Alligator mississippiensis: one gene and its partner. Each later gene encodes a partner of the first gene's protein in a complex. Links are inferred from orthologs where the notes say so. Each region holds a gene or a part of one and is shown on either strand. Other genes may lie near its edges. The genes, in order: NCF2 and RAC2.

Region 1 (11,336 bases):
CAGACAGCGTGCAGCACCCTGCTGAGCTGTGCTGCACCCATGCCATGGAGTAGCTGCTGCACAGGTACCAAGCGGGGGTAGGAGGAGCGATCCCCACTGCTCCCCTGCACTGCTTCACTCTGTGCAGGGGGGCTCTGCCATAAGCACCCAGAGGCCTCAATCAGTGCTGCTGCAGCCGGTGAGTGCAGGGCTTTTTTTTTTTAAGTGCCGAGACTAAGCTGGGGCCAGGTTGGGGATGGGGATGGGCAGGGCAGCCATGGGGGCTTCTCCTATGGCTCCCCCACCCAGGGAGAGGCAGGCATAGCTGGAGGAGCAGTGAGAGAACTGGCAGCCACCTGGCTGTGCCTGCCTCTCCCTTGCCAATCTGAATCATCATATCTCTCCCAATCTTCCAAAGCTGATTCAGCCAAATCAATTCAGGACAGTGATCCAAAAAAAAAAAAAAAAATCGCTGTTCTCTGAATTGGCCGAATCTGAATCAAACACTTCCCTATTCACACAGTCCTACTGTCCACTCCAGTAAGTGATACAATTTGCACCATCAACCACAGGAAATATAACTCATGGACATACATTGATTGGTTACACCCCCCAAAAAAGCCTCTCTACTAGGAGAGTGGTTAGACACTGATGGATCTTTATGGCTGTCCATTTCCTACACACACCATTTTTCCATAAGCCTACTCTGCTTTCCCCATCTAGGGATAAATACAAGGGCTCACCTTTCAGTAGCAATAAGTCTGTCCATCTGAATTATCTACATTTTACTGTAATAGGTGTCATTTAGATACTCTCCCCTTTTGAACTGATACTGTATAAATCAAGCTACCACCCAATTGGAGACATTGTATTTTAGAAACAAAAAAAATCTGTTTGAAGCATTGCTTGCCATTTGAAGAAAGGTTATTATTTGTATTTATCCTAACACATCAGCACCTATAGCCTCCAGCTAAGATTGTGCGCTAGGAAGAAACTGTGGCTGCCCCTATAAGAGTTTGCCAACTAAATAAGACAGAAAGTGGGAAACTGAGGCACCATGAGATGAAGTGATTTGCCCAAGGCTGCATGGAAGGTGCTGAGCTAGGAATTGAACTCCTGTTTCCCAAGCTCCATGCCAATATCCTTGGCATATTAGCATCTAAAGTAAAATCTTTAGTAAAGGAACTATATATTTAAAGCCATGAGGCTGAAGGAAATGGAAAGCAAAAGCTGATTTCTTGCCTCTCCACTTCTACCTCCATTTAAAAGGAGAAATATCCTTGGGTTTTAACATGCCTCTTAGTCAAAAAAAAGAACAAAAGTCTCCACAGAGGAGTTTCATACTTATATGCTGTGTCTTCCTGTCCTTTTTCTTCATATTACTTAAGCTCCTTGCAGATTTCCCTTTTCTTTTCCTGGGGCCAAAGAAGCTTGCAGCCTATGTTCTCCTCTACGTTGCTGCATGTTGCCACAGTAATCCCACAGGAGTGAGTTGGGACAGAATAGATATAAACAGGTCTCTCAGCTCCTAACCTGAGATCCAAAAGGAAAATTAGAGGTTAAGACATACAGTACTGGATTCTAAGTTAAAAATGAGTCATTGTTTCTCAGGAGTCCGTGTTGGCTTGGGAGCTGAGCCATAGAGGTAGAGGTACAGTGGTTTGCCTGCAGGACATAACAGTGATGGGAACAGAAGGCAGGTGGCTTAACTCCCAAGCTAGTCATGTAGTCAGCGGCCCAAGTAGGTCATTTTAGTGCAGGTGAAATGGGCTGAATTCACAGCCCCTGAAGACCAAAGCCCTCTGCCACTTTACTGTGAAACGTCTACAAGAAGCTGCAAAGACGTGATAGAGAAGAATTATTATTCTTCCCAAGGCACAAAGTGGGCGTTGACAGGCCAAGTGGGGCTGTGCACATACCCATGGCGGGCTTTAAACTAGCTTCACTGGGGAAGGGGCCACTCCGTGTGGAGAGGATGCTTCATCAGCATGCAGGGTGACAAGAGAAAGGGATGCCCAAGTAAGCAACAACGTCCTGGAAATAGGGGGCCACAACAGCCCTGGAAGTAGGGGGGAGGCACGTGCACCCTCAGGAGGCCTCAAGTGCCTCTACACCAATGCTCGTAGTATGGGAAGCAAGCAGGAGGAACTTGTGCCTCCTGATTGCAAGTAAGAATCCAGACTTAGTAGGGCTCACAGAAACCCACGATTGGGTGGTGGGCATTTGGGGATACACCCTATATAGAAGGGACAGGACAGAGAGGAAAGGTTGGGGGGGAGGGGGGGTTGAACTCTATGTCAAAGAGCAACTCGCATCCTCAAGGATTAGCTTCCGGTTAGAGGAGGGTTGTGCGGAGACACTGTGGGTCAAACTACAAGGGGGGCGTGGCAAAAGGGACCTTAGGGTGGGTGTCTACTACAGACCACCCAACCAGGGGGAAGAGCTGGACCAGGACTTCTCCAGTCAGCTTATGGAGGCAGTTAGGTCAAGGGATGTCACTATCATGGGTGACCTAAACTACCCAGACATTTGCTGGGACGAGCAGACAGCCAGGTCTGACTGCTCACATAGGTTCCTGGCTGTATTACAAGACCTTCACCTTATCCAGGAGGTGCACAGCCCCACTAGAGATAATGCCTTCCTGGACCTGGTCCTGGTCACTGGGGATGACCTGGTGAGGGGATTGCAGGTCCTTGATCACCTGGGCAATAGTGATCATCACCTGCTGGAATTCACTATCCAGCACAGGGTGTCAAGGACTTATAGCAAGACTAAAGTCCTTGACTTCAGAAGGGCCAACTTCAATGAGCTTCAGAGATTAGTGGGGGAGGCACTGAGGGCCCAGAAGGTAGAGGAGATGGGAGTCCGTGAGGGATGGTTGTACCTTAAGGGGGCGATCCTCCAGGCCCAAAGGGTAACAGTCCCTCAGAGAAGCAAGGGGGGTAAGAGTGCTCAGAAACCCCCATCAGCTAGATGATCTGTTCAGGTCCCTCCTGACCCTAGCTACTATGAAACTATGAAGCTTCCCTTACTCTGGGGTGATCCTTTTCCCAGCTAAGGCTCAGACAGATAGCTTTTACCTCAAGGAGCTGGCTGAAGTCAGCCAAGTCTATTCCTTCGGGTTGACCTCAATTAGCTTTTAAGGTAAAAACATGCCAACCTCACTCCAAGATTAATTAAACCTGATTCTGTCCCCAGGACCAGAGTTACACTGGGAGGAAAGCCCGCCTAGGTTGTATGGCCTATTCAGAGTTTGACCTCTCTGCTAAGGCAGATTATCAGCATGTAAAGCTTAGCAGTCACATTATGAAACAAACACCTCTTTATTAGGCAGTAGCAAAAGCTAGGTCATACTCTATAGGCTTACAGTCATAAGAGAGTAGTGACTTTTGTTATGACCTGCTTGAACCAGATACAAACCAGCCAGCTGGCAGTAAAAAAGCCTAGAGACCTGATCCCAATTCCATGAGCCACTGGGGAAGTCCCCATGGCTGAGAGCACACCTGACAATGTATTCAGCTCTTTAACTTGCAGCACTCTTGGGAATATCTTCATACCTTCAGCTAATTTGCTAATAAGAGATGCAATCATTCTTATGAGGTTAAGCAACCAGTTACATCAAGGAAGTCCCTTAACTGATTAAAACACATTTTGTTTCTTCATCTTAGCCAGGACCAGACCATGCAATGAGGCAATCAGATAAGAACGTCTGAGGAGGTGAGAAAGATGAAAAACGACACTGCATTAGGTCTGCAGATCGCACTGAAGGGTAGATACCCATGAGGAGCTAGCAAAAACCAGATGTAATCATTCCTGATATGGGCCACAGTGTTGCTGAAGTGCTGAGGCACACAAAACATTGTAACCTCCTGATTAATATCCTGGTTATAGTTCAACTCAGTCAGCTTTATTACAAGCCTTAGCCATGTTTTAATGTTGCTCAAGGATTTATACATGGGAAGAAAACTGCCTCAGGTTGAACATACCCATTGAGAAGACACCAGTCCATCTTCCCCATGCCAAGGGGACTTGAAGACATTTCTGGAGGAGGAAGCCATTGTAAGCAGTTGAAGGTGTTACAACACCCTTGTCTATGTGACCAAGGTACACACTCAGCAGCATTTTACGGTTATTTCAAGGGTATTTTTGGTTTACCCCTGCCTGAGCCTGCTAAAAGAGCTTAATGTACTCCACCTTCTTCTTACCCTTGGAGGACAGTGAAGATGATGCTACCAGCTGGGCTGCTGGCAACTGTTGGCCCTAGCTGCAGTGTCCCCTTGTATATAGTAAAAACTTTTTAACTTTATAGGTCCATTGCCTACTTTAGACATGTGAGCATACAGTCAGCCTCTATTATATACTCAGTAATGCCAACTGTTTCAAAACCATGGTGAGACTCAGGCTTTCAAAGTCAAAATAACTGTGATTCATGATCTTTGGATCCAACCCTCAGATCTCTGGATTTTCCCAGCTGGTAAGTGGAGGGAAAGAGGTAGGGAGGGGGAGAGTAGGGCAGAGGTGGGGTGCCCACTGTGGACAGGGCCTCTGTGCCCTGCTGCCTTGCCCCAGGAGCTCAGCCGCACATCCAGTGTGCCTCCTGCCACTGGGTGGGCAGGGGATGTGCCAGCGCACCCCACATCCCCTGCCCGCCCAGCAGGCAGCAATGGCATCACACAGCTGAGCTCTTGGGGTGAGGCACCAGGGTGCAGAGCCTCAGCCCGCAGAGGGCAGTCCACCTCTCCCCCTTGGGGGGGGGGCACATGCCCCCATGCCTCCCTCAGTGGTGTTCGCTGCTGTGGGAAGCAGTGTCCCTCCCCTGCACCTCTGGATGACCTGCCCCAGCACTGGGGCCCCATTCACCCCTGCCCCACTCCCTCCATCACCATGGGGGCCTCAATCTGCCCCACTCCCAGCCCTTCCCTCTACTTATCAGCTGGGTGCTGTCTGTGTGTCTATCAGTGTCTCTGTGTGTCTGTATCTTTGTCTGTCTGCTCCTCACTCCCAAGCCACAGCCCACCTAGCCCTGCTGCTGCTTCTCACTCTTGACCCACAGTACCTCGCATCCTGCCAGGGTGTGCGGGGACCCTCCCTCCCTGGGCTCCAAACCCCCCCCCACACACACACCCACAGCCCCCAACACCTTCACAAATAACACCCCTTACACGCACACTTCAAAACTAGCATCTCATGATTTACGTGCCAATCTCTTGATTTTTTAAGAGTTCGTCTCATGATTTTTGGCATGGTGGGGCTGGCAATACTGTATAATACAGTTTTGGTGGGAAAATGTTGCCAATGTGTGGTATGGTATTCTATACCTCAGGTAGGGTCAGCAGTATGGTTGCATGAGATTGGCAGCCTTCCTTCCTGAATGATTGGATGAGTGGCAGATTGACATGAGTGGTGTGACTGAGAGAGTTAAATAGGCTGAGAAGCTGCATCTACGGGCACACACGTGAGTTTGCGTGTGCATTGGTGGGTGTCTGTGCATCTGTGGAGTGCAAGTTGTGTTGTGCTTGGTGCACCTGGGCCTGGTCTGGTTTACTTGCTGTTGCTGCTGTTGAGAATTGTTGTAAGTTGTGTTGTATGTGGTTAAGTGAGATAGGCGTTGTCTGAAGTGCAGTCCCTAGCTGTGACCCTTCAAAATGTTGTTTCTTCCCCCAACTTGTGTATATAGTCCTGTAATTGCCATTGTGTATAATTGTATTAATCACTTTTCATACGTACCTGTTGTTTTGGTATCTTCTCTGAGTCTGTTTAATATAGTCGGGCTGTTGAATGGTTCATGAGAGTCTGTGATTTTTCTTGGTGGGAGCTTATTAATATTTAGCTACCTGGAGCTGGGCTGAAGGCTAATGGTTAGCATTGGGACAGACCCCTCCAATCAAAGAGAGCATTTGCATAATTAGCCTAATTGAGTTCTCGCTCTCAACAGAGGTTTTGGGGAATTCCCATCAGCAACCAGCCTGCAGCTAGGTGCTGCCTTTGGAAGTTAAGAGCGTGCGCGCTTCCTTTAAAAGGAACACGGCTGCAGGAACATGGCAGGACCTTCTTTCTTCATGCCCCAGTTCCTCTATGCCACATCACTGATGAACTCTGACTCAACTGTGACTACACTGACAGCAGTGCGATGCCAAACATAAGCCTCAAATTATAGATCCCATGAGGCAAAAAAAAAAACCGAAAGAGGCGAATAGCCGTGGGTGGAGGAGGAGGATTTATAATAACACAGCAAGGGGCTGCTCGGATTCACGTCAGCCAGCATTTGCTGTACTTCCCCATCTCAGCAGGGCTGTTTTTCATTGGCAAGTGTAGACACTTCCTGATAAGTTTGCGACATTGAACACTGTGTGGGTGCTGGAGGGAATACAGAAGTACAAGTAGAAGTGCACTGGCCGAGCTGCAGTGCAGAGGAAAGAGGGCCCAGAGTAAGGAAAAGCCACTCCAAGTTGTGGGGAGACCTGCCATCGCACTACCAGATACCCCACTGAAGGCTCCTGAGGAACCATGTCTCTGGCTGAGACGATCCAGCTATGGCATGACGGGGTACGTGCTGCCGATCAGAAGGACTGGAGAGCAGCGCTGGAGGCCTTCACTTCAGTTCAGAACCCCTCCTCCAAACTCTGCTTTAACATTGGCTCCATCCATCTGATCCTGGGGAACTTGGCTGAGGCAGAGCAGGTGAGTAAGAGCATCTCGATTCCTCCTGCCCCTGCCTCTTCTACATTCAAATCCGACTTAGCGGCACACCCAGCCCTGCCAGATAGACTGAAGGGCCCACTGACAAGTGAGAGGACTGACAGAAGTAGACTGATGATGAAATGACTGACAGCCTGACTCGCAGGTCAGACACATCTGTGCCTGACAGGCTGAAGGGCACTCGGCACAAACCTGTCAGGTAGCTGGCAAGCTGGCCTGGCTGGGTGCAAGGGGAAGAACTCCTCCGTGCTGCAGCTCAGCCACTGCTCAGCCAACCAGATGATGCCACATGGAGTATTTGCCAACCTGGCGGTTCACACCAACAGGCAGCCACATAGTGACTAATGGTCTATTAGGGAGGATGGCCCAGCAATTGATAGACCTGTCCTGAGCAGGATGAAGAGACAGTTACAGCACAATAGGTCACATACTTCATTTAATTCTTGCTGCTCAGTGCTGGGCGGGGGAAGTGGGGGGGTATTTAATTTATGGGCCTCTGGCCAGGTGAAACACAAGAGCCAAAGCTGAAGGGTGGAAAGAGGAGGTACAATCCTTTTCCTTCTCTCCACATTTCCCTTTCCATTTCATCCTTCATTTCATCCCTTCTCCTGAGATGCTGGTTTCATGCCTCCTACCAGTCAAAGGCAAGCACCGCACATGCCAGGTTCTGTTCCACTCTCCCCTCTACCGCAGCACTAGCCGCAGCTGCAGCTGCTGCCTTCTCCCCATCCCTATACTCCGTATCCAGGTCTCCCTTTGCAACTTCTCTCTGGGGAATAGGTTTCATGTATGAATCATCTCCTATCCCCTGCAGGCATTTGCCAGGAGTATTAACTGTGACAAGCACTTGGCTGTGGCCTATTTCCAGAGAGGAACAGTATTTTACAAGAGAGAAAAGTAAGTATTGGAAACTCCCTAATGGAAGTGAGGTGGGTGGGTGTGTAAAAGTCAAACTTTGTTTCCCTGACTGGCAGAGAAGCCTTTTGACAAGTCAGTCATGCTGGAATGCTGCAGAGGTAACTGGAGCCAGAACGCACCTAACAAGGTAAATACTATCTCATGCTTAGCAGTGGTCCCAACCTACGGATGAAGACTATTCTTGGGAGCCTCGGAAATTTCCCAGTGTGTGTTTAAAAGCAATGAGAGGATTAGCTAAATCCTATATAAGAAACCTTTACAAAAGGGAGTGTACACAGCACCTAATGTGATGGGGCACAACCAGAATATAAATGATACACAATAATATTAACACTGGTCACAGCTTTGGGTCTAAAGCAGATGCAGGTAACAGACTCAAAAGCCTTGAGACTGGCAAGCACAATTGGCCAATGAAGAGTCAGAACACAATTGCCTAGATCTGGACAGCCTCTTTTCTCCCAAGAATGACTCAGGATGAAGGGCTTGGGCTGTGGTAAAAGGCTACTGGCATGTCATTAGCTGGCCAAGTGACTCAGGATGAGAACAAGACTGCATTCTTGAAAGGCACCAGGCAGCCCAGCCAGCAAAAGGCCCTGCCCTTTTCTTGGTGGACCCTGACAGATTATTAACTTTGCTTTACAGCTATGATTCAGCAGTCGAAGACTTTAAAGAAGCACTGGCTCAGCTGCGAGGGAACCTGCTGATAGACTATAAGATCCTGGGGCTGCAGTTCAGGCTGTTTGCTTGTGAGGTAAGGAGCATACGGGAAATGTGACACTGAAACAAGCAAGGCTATCCATGAAGCAGAACAAGTTAAGTGGTGAAGATATATTGCAATCCAATGCCACACAGCCAGTGGGTGTAACTCAGACATGAGGCCTCCATATAGGAAGAGAAAAAGGTGGGAGGTGATACATCAAATATAACGCAACACATATTTCTCCAGTTAAAAAGAAACTAGAGACTTTACTAATATGCTAAGGGCCTAAGGGCTATATTATTCCATTTAAGATCAAAGCAAAACCAAATATAACTTAACTGCAACATGCATTAATTTGCTATATATCATGTACTTTGTATAAAAAAAACAACACAACAAACTTGGCCAAAATAATCCAAAGATATTGTTGCATTAGTCCTGCAACATTAGCTATTAGAATAAAATGTATATTTTTTCAGATTCATAAAACAAAATCTAGCCTTCTTGAGAATCCTGATAATGCATCCAGTACTTCACTGAAAGTTGCTTATACAGCTGAATAAACGTTCACCCGAGTTAACATTTCTACAGCTGAGTTAGTGTTTTTAGATAGAGTTAAAAACAGCTAACAGACAGTAGAACTACAGAAGAAAGGGTAGCTTGATTAGTGGAACATCGAGACTTAAAAAGGAGAAACAGGCAGAATCAAGACTATAGAAGGAATCAGGCAGTTTACAAGGAGCCATGAAGTCAGTTGACTCCCTCATTGCTACTGCACCTGCCAGGCAGTTGGCTTTAAAATTTGGGTGGGCCAGGAATCAAGGAGTGGGTGCACCACTGCACCCTGACCTCATATATGAGTGACAAGCCAACATTCAGCCTTCAGAGCTCGCATGGAAGAAATTAGAGGCTGGTCCCTAGGACTAGTAACTTTAGAGCTAATTAATTAGCTGGTGTTTCTTTGTACCCAAACCCAATAAGAAGGAAAGTGAGTTGATAGCAAGCATGACAGATTTCATGTCCTCACAAAAAAGCAAGTGATTGATTTATGAGAGGAGGCAAGCAGAGACTAGGAATCTTTGGAACGGGAAGCTAGTCCTGCCTAGCTTCCCCTCACCCTGTATTAACAAACATCACCTCATTGCCTCCAGGTGGAGCTTTCTAGAAGATTTCTCTAGGAAAATAAGACTCAACAAAGCCCTTGGAGTATCTTCAAACAGCAGGTAGCACTGGCAGCACATGGGGCTCTCTCGGCTCTGAGTTCTCTACTGCTTTTAGGGACAGTAGCTTAAGGCACTCCTCATTAGAGGCTGGTTCACTTGAGAACCTCCATTCATTGAGCCTTTGTTTTTCTTAACAAATTTCCTTTTTGCAGGTGTTATACAACATAGCTCTGGTCTATGCCAAACTGGAGGACTGGAAAAAAGCAGAAGAGCACCTCATCTTGGCAACGAGCTTGAAGAGCGAGCCTCGACACAACAAGATTGATAAGGCTATGCAAGCCATTTTGGTAAAGAATAATTTCTCCACGTGTTGATTCCTTCCTGGGCTGCCACTAAGGTGGCCATTAGTCCAGTTTTATAGAGGACAGTCCAGTTTTCTGGTCCTTTGTCCTCTATTGATATGAAACTGGACGCCTTTATGTCCTCTATTTTTCACCACCCAGCACCCTCCCCTCCCCCGAGCCACTGACACCACTGCGGCCACATGCGGGAGCTCCCTGCTCGGCCTGCCCCCACCGCTGACACTACTGTGGCTGCCTGTGGGAGCTCCTCGCTCAACGCCACTATGCCCCTGCTGCCAACACTGCGACTACTGCCTGCGGGAGCTTGCTACGCCCCCCCACCCCCAGCCTCGGGAGGCATGCAACATTCATGGTGGTGGGGACAGTTGCACTAAATTCAACTCTCCTCTATCCTTGAGGTACCTCGATGGCCATCTTGGCTGCCACTGAAAAAGCCAGGGGCTTATAGGGATAAAAGAGACTGAAGTCTATAAAGAAGGGGAACTATCCTGTATCAGAAGCTTTACAAAAACAGCCAAGAGCTGTGGCTTGATATACGAACATGGGTTTTGCAGCATATGGGGAAAATGTGAATGAAGGGTTTTTGGGAGGGCTAGGACTGAAGCTGTGTAGCACATGGGCCAAATTCACCCAGAGGGAGCTACATGCAGAGCTAGAAGGTGGGCAATGCTGGAAGTGTCTGTACTTTCAACATGTCCCTATGATTTCTGTATGCTACAGAAGCAAAATGTATTTGAGCCAGTGGTGATCCCCCTGGGGAAGCTGTTTAGGCCAAATGAGAAGCAAGTGGCTCAGCTGGAGAAGAAAGATTACCTGGGGAAAGCTACGGTAGGAAAAAGTTCACATACTGCTTTCAAGCCAAATATGAGAGGAGGACAATGGGGTGGTCTCTGCCCAGGAAATCATCACCGTTATTCATTTTGCATTGAGTGCTGAGAGCATGAGCAGGATACAGTGGCAGACACTTTTTGCCCCAAGAAGCTGAGGCAGATGTTGAGGGAGGAAACTGAGAGGTAAAACTCTGTGGCAGAATTTAGAAGCTGCATGCACCTGTTTGCAGGATGATTCCCCCTCCTACCCCTGATTCTCTCAGCCCTTAGCTGGACACAAGGAAATAGTCATTTAGCATTTCGCTGGAACTGATCCACCACAGCTGATTCAGAAATGCTTCTGGAAGCACATGCCAGTCAAATATGATGCATGCTTTTGGTTTGAGAATTTCCAAGTTTTCTTGATCAAACGCCCCTAAACAAACTCCACAAAGGCCATGCCACAGCTGAACTGGGACAGGGGTCAATACATTAATAATAAAAGAAGCATTTTCTTTTACTTGGTGAAAGCCAAATATTATGGTTCATGAGACAGAGAAAAATAGAAACAGAAAAACAAAGCAGCAGTGGCAGACGTGCAGAGTGGATCAGACAGGCATCACCCCAGCAGATCAAATATTCCAAGGGGCGGTCAGCAACATGGAGAGAGACTTTTTAAAGGCTGGGATTTTCAAAGAAGCCTAAG
Region 2 (10,267 bases), on another chromosome or scaffold:
TAAACCCCTTGTTTGTTGCATAGGTGACAGGTTGGGACTATCTAGAAGCCTGTGCTGGCCTGGTGGCAGGCCCCTCCCCTCCAAACAAGCAGCCTTTTGGTGATGCAAGGGGAGCCAAGACTGACAGGTGGCTCTTCAGGTGACCTTGCATCCCTTTAATATCCTGCCTGCCCTCTCCCCAGCACAATCCCCTGGCCCCTGGCTTCAGGATACTCACACAGTGGGGATGTATTCTCCAGGAAAGGCATTGGTGGTGTAGCTGATGAGGAGACAGGTCTTGCCCACAGCTCTGGAAGAGAAAGAAAGCACACACAGGACATGTTACTGTGACTTCCTGGGGAGCATGATTCCTCCCCTTGCCCAAGAGCCAGCCAGATCAGGAGGGTTGGCAGAGAAGGAAGAAAATTCAGACTCACAGACCTGAGCTCTGTTCCAGGTTGGAAACAGGAGGAAAGAGAGGCATGCAGTTTCATCACTGTAGTGCCTTCTAGTCTGTTGGTTTGCAGGACATCTTTATAGACCTGACAAGGGTCTGAAAGGCAGCCAGTCTGTGGTAGAGGAGGACTGCTGCTTATCAGGGCACAGCACTAAGCAGTTTCAGGCAAGCTGTGATGGAGAGTACACAGCATCTCATACAGCACTGAGAATGCAGGGCAACAGTGCTAGCACCCAGATTGAATCTGCTCTGGTTCTGCTACCCCGGCTAGACACATGGCTATGTGCTTGCCACACCTCTATTTTATACCTCATCCAAGCAGTGGCATCTTTGACAGGATGGCACTTGCTAATGCTCTACTGAAGCAGCACAACCAGAGCCAGGAGAGAGCACCTCACACAGAAGACCAAAGGCTTGCCTGGGCATTTCTTGCACATTCCTGCCAGCTATAATGTCATTTCTGAGGGGGCTACAGGCAGCAGGCAAGGTGCCCTCTTCAGCTCCTCCTCCCACATATCAGGGGCCACTCTTGGGGCTTCTGGGCCTTCCCCTCTGGTCTCACCTCCAGGGGAGCAGGGTGGGGCACCAGGTGGCAAGAACTGCAGAGCAGTCCACCTCCAAGAGAGGCACTGGTAGACAGGAGAGAGGCTTTTTTTTAAATTTAACTTGTATCCAAGGCCAAATTAGTCAAAACTAATTCCAAATCCAAGAGTCCAGAACCATAAGTGGCCCTACTACCGGCAAACATCCTCCACCCGCACCTGGGGCTTCAGATGTTTCCAAAGGAAGAGAAAGAACTAGGAAGAACTTCTTCACAGTTAGAGTGGCCAAGGTCTGGAAAGGGCTCCCAAGGGAGGTGGTGCTCTCCCATACCCTGGGGGTCTTCAAGAGGAGGTTAGGCATCTAGCTGGGGTCATCTAAACCCAGCACTCTTTCCTGCCTATGCAGGGGGTCGGACTCGATGATCTATTGAGGTCCCTTCCGACCCTAACATCTATGAATCTATGAATTAGCTGTTGCAATAGTCCACAGGAATAGAGATGATATCTCAGAGAGTTGTAATGGATGGGTCAGTATCGACCTGGAAGGGTGTGGGCAGTGGGGTCCCGCAGGGCTCAGTCCTTGGACCGATACTCTTCAATGTCTTCATCAGCGACTTGGACGAGGGAGTGAAGTGTACTCTGTCCAAGTTTGCAGATGACACAAAACTGTGGGGAGAAGTGGACACACCGGAGGGCAGGGAACGACTACAAGCAGACCTAGACAGGCTGGACATATGGGCAGAAAACAACAGAATGCAATTCAACAAGGAGAAATTCAAAGTGCTGCACCTAGGGAGGAAAAATGTCCAGCATACCTACTGCCTAGGAAATGACCTGCTGGGTGGCACGGAAGTCCTAGTGGACTCCAAGATGAACATGAGTCGGCAGTGTGACAAAGTCATCAGAAAAGCTAATGGCACTTTATCGTGCATCAGCAGATGCATGACAAATAGATCCAAGGAGGTGATACTTCCCCTCTATCGGGCACTGGTCAGACCGCAGTTGGAATACTGCGTGCAGTTTTGGGCGCCACACTTCAAGAGGGATGTGGATAACCTGGAGAGGGTCCAGAGAAGGGCCACACGTATAGTTAAGGGCTTGCAGGCCAAGCCCTATGAGGAAAGACTAGGGCACCTGGACCTCTTCAGCCTCCACAAGAGAAGGTTGAGAGGCGACCTTGTGGCTGCCTATAAGTTCATCACGGGGGCACAGAAGGGAATTGGTGAGGCTTTACTCACCAAGGCGCCCCCAGGGGTTACAAGAAATAATGGCCACAAGCTAGCAGAAAGCAGATTTAGACTAGACATTAGGAAGAACTTCTTCACAGTTAGAGTGGCCAAGGTCTGGAACGGGCTCCCAAGGGAGGTGGTGCTCTCCCCTACCCTGGGGGTCTTCAAGAGGAGGTTAGATGAGTATCTAGCTGGGGTCATCTAGACCCAGCACTCTTTCCTGCCTATGCAGGGGGTCGGACTCGATGATCTATTGAGGTCCCTTCCAACCCTAACATCTATGAATCTATGAATCTATGAAAACCTTTGGCAGGCATCCTACTTGCAGGCCCAAGCCTGGAGGCTTGGGGTTCGAATGCCCCTGAGTTTTACTTGCCCTTAGCCATAAGGCCCTTAGACCAAGCAAGGGAGGAGACTCCCATTTCCATAAACTGGGCTTAAAGCTGCTGCACCTTGGCAGGTAATGTACCACACCAGAAGAGCAGTTCTCTTGTGAAGTGGATCAGGAAAGCTGTCTTCTTGGAAGCCCAAAGAGGAAAGTGAGCCTGTCTGCTTGGGGAAGGAAGGCTAATGGAAAAGGGAAAGAGGAAGGGCTGTGTGGTGGATCACTGAGAGGTGATGGTGATGGAAACAAGAGGGTGGGGAGAGATTGGGGTGGGGAGGGGAAAGGGAGAAAGGAAACAGAGCTAGCTCCAATGAGGGAAGGATGAGCCCATAGCTAGTAGACTAAGTGCCTTCTCTACCTCTGCCATTAACTCCCTCGTGCCTCCTTTCTCCAATCAGAAAAATCGTGACAGCAATAGTGACCTGTTTCTTAGGGCACTACCTGGGTTGGATTATGGGCACTCAGGTATAATGGTGAGAAAAGTGAGAGCCTGGCTGGCTCCCTCCATCCACCCACCCACTTCTGTGAGGGTTGTCACACAACGTGCTGCTTCAGAGGTGCCAGTACACCTGGCAGGTCTGATGCCCAAGGTTTTCTCCCCAGCCTGGCCTACTGCACCTTGCAAGTACAGAGCAAGGTAGTGATGGAAATGAGAAGGAACATGAGTCATGGTCTCACAGCCCAGTTGCTAGGTCATGAAGGCTCAGAAGGAAGTGCAACATTTCTCTGGAGTCTTGCACACATTTCCTCCTCTTTTGGATCCCCTGCCACCTTTCCCGTCTCCCTTTTCTCAATCCTTCTCTCCCATTCTGTCATCATTCTCCAAGTTCTTTCATCCCTCTCAGCAGAGGTCTCAGGGGAGAGCTGCTGGGTTGGAAGGCAAGGGAGTTAGTGAAGCTGTATTTGGAAAGAGAGGTTAGTAAGCTCATGGGGAAGGACTATAACACTAGGAGAGTTATGGGGGACTACTCGTGGGGTGGTCATGAGGTCAGTGCATGTGGGGCCTAGCAGAGATCTGCAAGAGGCTCTGGGGTTAGTCATAGAGTATTTCCTGTGTGCGTAGTTTCAGGTACGGCTCTGTAACTTAAGTTCTGGTCTTCACAGCACTTCCTGGAGAGATACCAGCCTTTGTTTGGTTGCAGGGTTTTTGCCCTGCATTTCTGGCTCCTCCTCTCTGCCTCCCTCAGCCCCCAAGGTGTTTTTTTTATAATTTGATATTTTGCTTATAAACTTCCTCCTTGAGCTGGTTTTGAAGGAGGAAGTGACTGCGGGGAGCTGGGCCTCTGCAAATGTCTCTTCATCTGCTACTCGATAGCTGCCCCAGATAACAGTGCTGCCGGCTTGCAACTCAGAACTAGCTTAACTCTCACACCACCAAACCCTGAAACCCACCTCACATGTTTCCTCCTATCCTCTGGCTGCATGTCTCATGGGGCAGAAGTGTTCAGTCCATTTTGGGGGTTACCCTGGGGAAGCTCTCTGTTGAGGCCTCGGCTGGGCCACAGAGCCATCATCAATGGGGTGCATCAGCCAGGGTAACGTTTACTCTGCACTTATATGGCAGAGGTAGGTTGCCTTCTAATTCTGTCGGCAGCTGGAAGCCTCATCTTCGTGATAAGGGGGGAAAAGCAAGTCCTTTTCTCTGTGTCCAGGGGAGCCTCATCTAACAGACTCCTCCAGGCAATCAACATAGAGACACGGTGGGCTCTGAGACCCAAATGCAAAAATGGAGGAAGACAAGCTGCACTCTCCACATCCACTGTCATGTATCAGTTTCTCCCTCCTGCCCCGGCACTGAAGGCTTTTGTGGGGAGCAGTCATAGGGAAACCATGATTCCCCTCATTTATTCTTGAACCTGGCTCTGTCCACCGTAGATAGCTGTGCCCAAGGGAGGCATCATGGGGATGACACCTCTTTCACTGAGGGTAGATTTGCCAGCCCTGCAAACAGCTCTGCTTTCTGTGGTCCTGTTGCAGCAGCTGTACAAAAATGCCCTTCCCCTATCCCACCTAACACACCTCCTCCGTCACAGGCTGACTCCCTTCATAGGAAGTTTTAGCAAGAACAACCTACCTCCTTCCCTTTCCCGCCCCCAGCCCCTAAAATAGAAAGGTACATACCCATCTCCCACCACCACACACTTGATGGCCTGCATGGCTCTGGACTGGTGGAGGAAGGCTGGTCCTGGGGTGGGGGAAGTCAGGCACAGGTAATGCTCACAAAGGAGAATGGAAGGATGGTCGGTGCAAATAAAATGTCAACCCTAGAGCTGAAGTGAAAGGCAGGTCGCTGGGAGGGAGAGGAAGAGGAAGAAGGAGCATTACTCAATGTGCCCACAGGTCCCCTCCTCCTCAACTCTGTAGCCCAAGCCGTTAGCTAAAGGCGGAGCATATGCAAGTATAAGGTTTGGCTTCTACTGCATCAGAAAATGACAGCAGCTTTCTTTCTATGCTTCCTGTCCTGCTGGTTTGAGCAGTGGGGGGCGCCATGCTACTTTTACTCAGGGGTTAAATAAAAAATTGTGCCAAAAGCTGAGAGATGGCTTCTTCTCTCCCCTTTGCTCCTCCTCCCTCCCCCCCAGCTTCCCAAGGCTTCTTTTCATCTTCATGAGGAAGTGAAGATTTTCCAGCTGAAATGGAGCAAAGGGAGGGGCTGGCTCCTGGCAGAGAATACTTTCTGGGCCTTCCAGCCTTTCTGCTGCCAGGTGACAAATGCAGAGGGAGCTGCTTTCCTCTGATGCTGAACAAGGAACTTTACTAGAATAGGAAAAGCCACATTGTTCCCTCTGTTGCTGCTGAATTTCTCTTTACCTCCCTCTCATTCAGTTAATTGCCACGAAGGAGCTGGCGTAGGATGCAGGACCTGTGGCGGTATTCTCCCCCTGACTCCCAGCAGCCTCTCTCTCACTATGATTGGCATCAGTACTACATGGCATAAGCAAATCATTGCACCCAACATTACTCGGTTGGTTGTTCCCTTGCTAATATTCATATGATGCTATGCCAGTTTATAGGACCATGTACTCACCAGTAGGTGGAGCACCAGAAGCACCTAAAGAAGGGAGAAGAGACCTCGCAGCCTGGAGTCCCCTTTCTGCTCTAAAGAGGGTTTACACCCATCACCGTAATATTTAAGGACCTTGTTTCACCATAATTTTGGGTGGCTCCCGGAGTGCTTAACCTCTGGACTGTCTGTATGTTACACCTTAAAGTGGTTTAAGCACTCGTCACGTGGCTTAAAGTTATGCCGCTCCAGGTCAGGGTTATCTCTGATCTGCACTACCCAGCTCCTGTTCCATAAGGTTCGCCCTCTCCTCACAAATGTGCCACCCAAGTTGAAGTCCTCCATTATCCCAGGATCTTTCACACCCCCACACAAACAGCAGGGATGGAAGCCTGTCCTGGCTCATCAGCCACAAAGTGGCAACTCATAGTTACAGATCCTAACCCTGCCCCTGCTCACCAGGTCTCATGGCAAGTCACAGCTGTGCAGGCAGGGAACAGTTAGAGAAGGTTTCTAGACTATGGGTGTGACTGCTTGAAACTCCAAGCTAGCACTAACACCAATCACCATTTGTACAGCTCACAACATAAGGTGTAACAAGGCCCTATATACCAATTCACCTGCCCCACTCCCAAGACCCATAGCTGGCTCCCTCTCTCTTCTGAAAAAAGCCCTTATCACAATATATAGAATCACAGTTTATCTTAAATAAAAGGTGTATATTAATTGTCTGCTACGACTACAGGACAACCTAAAAAGACTTCTGTCCAGCTCTCCTCTAACAGAAAGGACTGAGCAGGGTGTCTGAGAGGAGAAATGTGTGGAGGAGCTGGGAAGGAAAGACAGGTGCAGGGGCAAAGTGGGACAGGAGACAGGGCATAGAAGGGGCAGGAATAATGCTGGCATGGAGGCAGACTTTAAGGTCCATGAAAACTCTTGAGTGGTTGGAAAAAAAATCATCCTGAATCAGGCTCTAAATTCAAAACTCAACCCACATTCTTTGTGGACCTGGAAGTCTGCAGTGTCTCATTTTGGAGACACCAAGAGATCCTCACAACAGGAGTGTCTGAAATAAAATATGTTCCTGTGCTCCCAAGGAGGTAGAGAGCCCATGACAGCCCAGGTGAGCTGCTGAGGAGCCAGGTGTGATGAGTCACTGCTCCAGCTGGATATGGCCATACTGGACTGAATGCACCTGATTTCATTTGATCTTGGAAGCTAACCAGTCCTGGGCTTGGCTAGCACTTGGATGGGAAACCACCTGGAAGTCCCAGGTGCCATAAGTCCCAGCAGAGGATGAATCATCCCTCTGACTGCCAGCCATTGGCTGTAGTGCTTGTAGGAAGCAGACCCTGCTCTCAAACAGCCTTGAAACCAGCAGGGCAGATAGTAGGGGTCTTTTGGTGAACTTGTAGGCTGCTCTGATCCTAGCACTTTGTGCCTTGATTCTTGGCCCTTTTCTTGCTGATTATGTCTATCCCTGGCTTCTTCCCTTGCCTTGTTCCTGACTACAGTCCTCAACTCACGACCCTGGCTTGTATCCCATCTCTACTCCCAGGTCAAGATCCTAAACCTTAGGGCTGACCACTCACGTCCCACTTGCTGAGGGCCGGAAATCTGCAAGACCCAGGAGTCCTGGCATCTAAGGCCCCCAAAGCTTCCAGATTCCCTGCCCCTTGGTAGCCCACCAGGCAGGAACCTGTCGGGTATGGAGCTCCTGCTCTCATGTTCCCAACTGGATAGATGCGGCTGCTGTGTGTTCTTCTGAAATGGAAACATTCCCATAGACTGTTTCAGATTCAGCAAACAGGCATTGTCCAATGAAAATGTGTTCTCTGAAAATACAGGTACACACTGGGGGTAAAAAGAAGTTGGAAAAAGTGAGGCATGGTGGGGCGATGTCCTGCCTTTATCTGACACTAGCTAGACACTGGTTTTCAACTTTCTTAGCCTCAAAGCTTCCTCCATAACTGTTCTGAATGTAAATTCTAGCTCAGTGACTCTCAAAAGGGGTGCTGTGAAATTTGGAATAGTTATGGAGGAGTGTCTTGAAGCTAAAAAGTTTGAGAACCACTGATACAAGCATCAGTCCCCTCTTGCCTATAAAACCTGACCTGAATCCTTTAGTCTTGCATCTCAAGATGCCTCTGCTCATAGCCAGCACCCATAAAAATCACTCCCTCCCCATCTTGTGGCAAATCAGGAAAGAAGATAATAGCTTGCTGCTGCTACCATTTACTTTATTGCCCCTTGGCACAGAGACCTGCACTGTGGATTGATAGGTCTCAGTTTCACTGATAGAGTTCCAGTGGGGCAAGACACAATGAAATTTCTGCCCCCTTGCCCACCCCTTCCTCCATGCAGCAATGTGTTGGCTTTAAAGTATTCGGAAATTGCATCTAAACAACCTCTCCTAAATAAGTAAGATGGCACAAGTCAAGTCTCTGAAGTTAGAAAATGCCAGTATTTACTGAGCAGTACAGGTACCCAGAGCTTTGGGGTCTACATGGCAAAACAGAGATTCATGTCCTGGAATTACTTGACAGCTGCATTCTCAACAAGCTGTTAGTCTCTGTGCTTTGCTCTCCTGCCACTAAGGGGTACTCTTGATTAGGGGTTTCCTTCTGTGTATCTGAGAAGGAAAAGGAGAGGCAGGCTTTCAGCACTTCTTATTTGTCTGCCAGCATTTGAGGAAGAAGTTGGTGGGAAGAGGAAGAGGAATTGGTCTGTGGGGTAGTTCTACAGTGAGAGACTGCCAGAGGCTATGCCTGGCCATCTGTATGACCCATGGGAGGTGGGATTAGTGCAGAACCCAATAGATGGGCATGGGGGCAAATAATGGAAGAGGCAGGTGTGAGATGTAAGGTTTCCCCTGCCTGAATCTAAGGGAAGGGAGAAAACCAAGTGACCTCATTGCTCCTCTCTCCTGTCACCTCAGACTTTATCCTGACCCACCTGTTGCCCCTGCCCTGCTCTTTCTTGCTCAGTTTCCCCTTTGCCATCCCTGTGCCACCCCCCCCCCCCCCAGCCCAGGTACAAAATCCTATTAGGAGAATATTCTGGGAGGGAATATAGGGGAATCCCAGACATCCTAGACATGCAGTGGGGTAGGCAAAGAGCAACTTTCTGAATGGCAGGTGGTGTGGGGGGAGGACGGTATCTCTCATCACTGCAGTTTCCCAGGGAACAATACAGCAGCACAATATGTGGCACTACTGCTTGTCCCTGGGACACACCTGTGTATGTAAGCACTGGACTGTGGTACATTGCCTTGGGTGGGGTAAGGGAGGCTGGGGCCAGCACCTGGGGCCCTGAGGGCCTCCAGGAGCTGCAGCCATGGCAGTCCAGCAGCATGGGGCAGTCCAGCAGCATGCAAATCAACAGTGCAGGGAATGCCTGCATGTGTGGTATGCAGTGTGTGCAGTGAACATCGACAGCGAGGAACGCCTGCACATGCAGTGAATGCAGTGTGCATCACTGTAGATGGGTTGCTGCACCACATACCGCACATCTATGATCATCTGGACAGGCCCATGAGGGTGGAGAGAGCAGAAACTCTCTTTTCTCTGCGTGGGAAGAAAGTTTGATGTGCCTAGTGCCTTAATGCAGTTTCGTCATGAAGAGGAATGCAGCCTTCTCCCACCCCACACCAATGGCAGTAGGAGTGAGGGAGGTGGGAGAGGGGAAGTTTTCCTGACTGTATGTGCAGGACCTGTGCACAAGGTCAGCCCAATGCAATGGAGCCCCAGCTCTATTCCCCTTTTGTGTCTTACTTCCCTGTTGCCTTGGCTCTCCACTTGGCTTCCTGTCCCTCTTTCTTTCTTGACGTCTACTCCTTCTCTTGATCTCAGTGGTCTTTAAGCTACAAGCATAGTCATTTCCAAAGCCAAAATTGAAAGGCGAGGTAAGGTCACTAGGGAATGACTAATGAGTGAAGAGGGTGTCTGACTGCATTGTTCAGTAATCACTCTGAGATCAGGCGGTTAACAGGGATCTGCTTAGTTCTGGGTCTCAGATCCAGCTGCAACTGTGCAACAAAACAACGGATTTCTTCAGATCCCATCCCAGCCACTCGTCTTTGAAGCCAAGCCACTGGGAGATGCAATTTCCAGTATCCTTTCCCAGCCAAACAAAACAGTGCACAATGGATATTCACATGACACAGAATTTCAGCCTGTTGGTTATAAGCAAATAAATCTGTTACTTGTGTTCCATTAGTCTCTCAGGTGCCTGAGATATTATTGCTATTGGAGTCAGGAGGTGATAAACCCTTTGCTGTATATCCTTGGGCTTTTCTGTCTTAATCTGTAGTGATTGGCCTGTCTGAGACTTTCTTGAACAATATGGCTGACACAGTGCCCTTCTCTTCCTCCTTTAAGATCGTAGAGTTTTTACCTATTTACCTCTTTGGTAGAAGGCAGGGCAGAGTTGCACCTTATAGACTAACTAATTCAGCATCTGATGAAGTGAGGTGTTGCTTCCATAAACTTGTTCATCTCTGAACCGATTAGTCGATAAGGTGCAACCCCACCTGGCCTTCTGCGTGACTTCAGACTAACATGGCTAAATACTTATCTCTCCTTCTCTCATAAAGGTCCATCTGGAGTGATAGGCTCCCTAAGCTACAGGCAGCCTCTTATGATGATCACCAATCCACACTCCCTCATTTTC

Evidence for each region.
Region 2: NCF2 (region 1) and RAC2 share a complex: the UniProt entries of both Homo sapiens proteins name them as parts of the phagocyte NADPH oxidase complex. The link is inferred for Alligator mississippiensis from reciprocal best matches to the Homo sapiens genes NCF2 and RAC2.

Annotation. Positions count from the first base shown.
Region 1 is NC_081828.1:54,295,055-54,306,390, reverse strand, and holds the start of NCF2 (neutrophil cytosol factor 2), read left to right. Parts: upstream 1-6,300; 5' UTR 6,301-6,486; coding exon 6,487-6,660; intron 6,661-7,492; coding exon 7,493-7,575; intron 7,576-8,238; coding exon 8,239-8,347; intron 8,348-9,671; coding exon 9,672-9,806; intron 9,807-10,541; coding exon 10,542-10,649; intron 10,650-11,336. UniProt on the Homo sapiens protein: Subunit of the phagocyte NADPH oxidase complex that mediates the transfer of electrons from cytosolic NADPH to O2 to produce the superoxide anion (O2(-)).
Region 2 is NC_081827.1:100,469,796-100,480,062, reverse strand, and holds the start of RAC2 (ras-related C3 botulinum toxin substrate 2), read right to left. Parts: upstream 4,943-10,267; 5' UTR 4,749-4,942; coding exon 4,714-4,748; intron 290-4,713; coding exon 218-289; intron 1-217. UniProt on the Homo sapiens protein: Plasma membrane-associated small GTPase which cycles between an active GTP-bound and inactive GDP-bound state.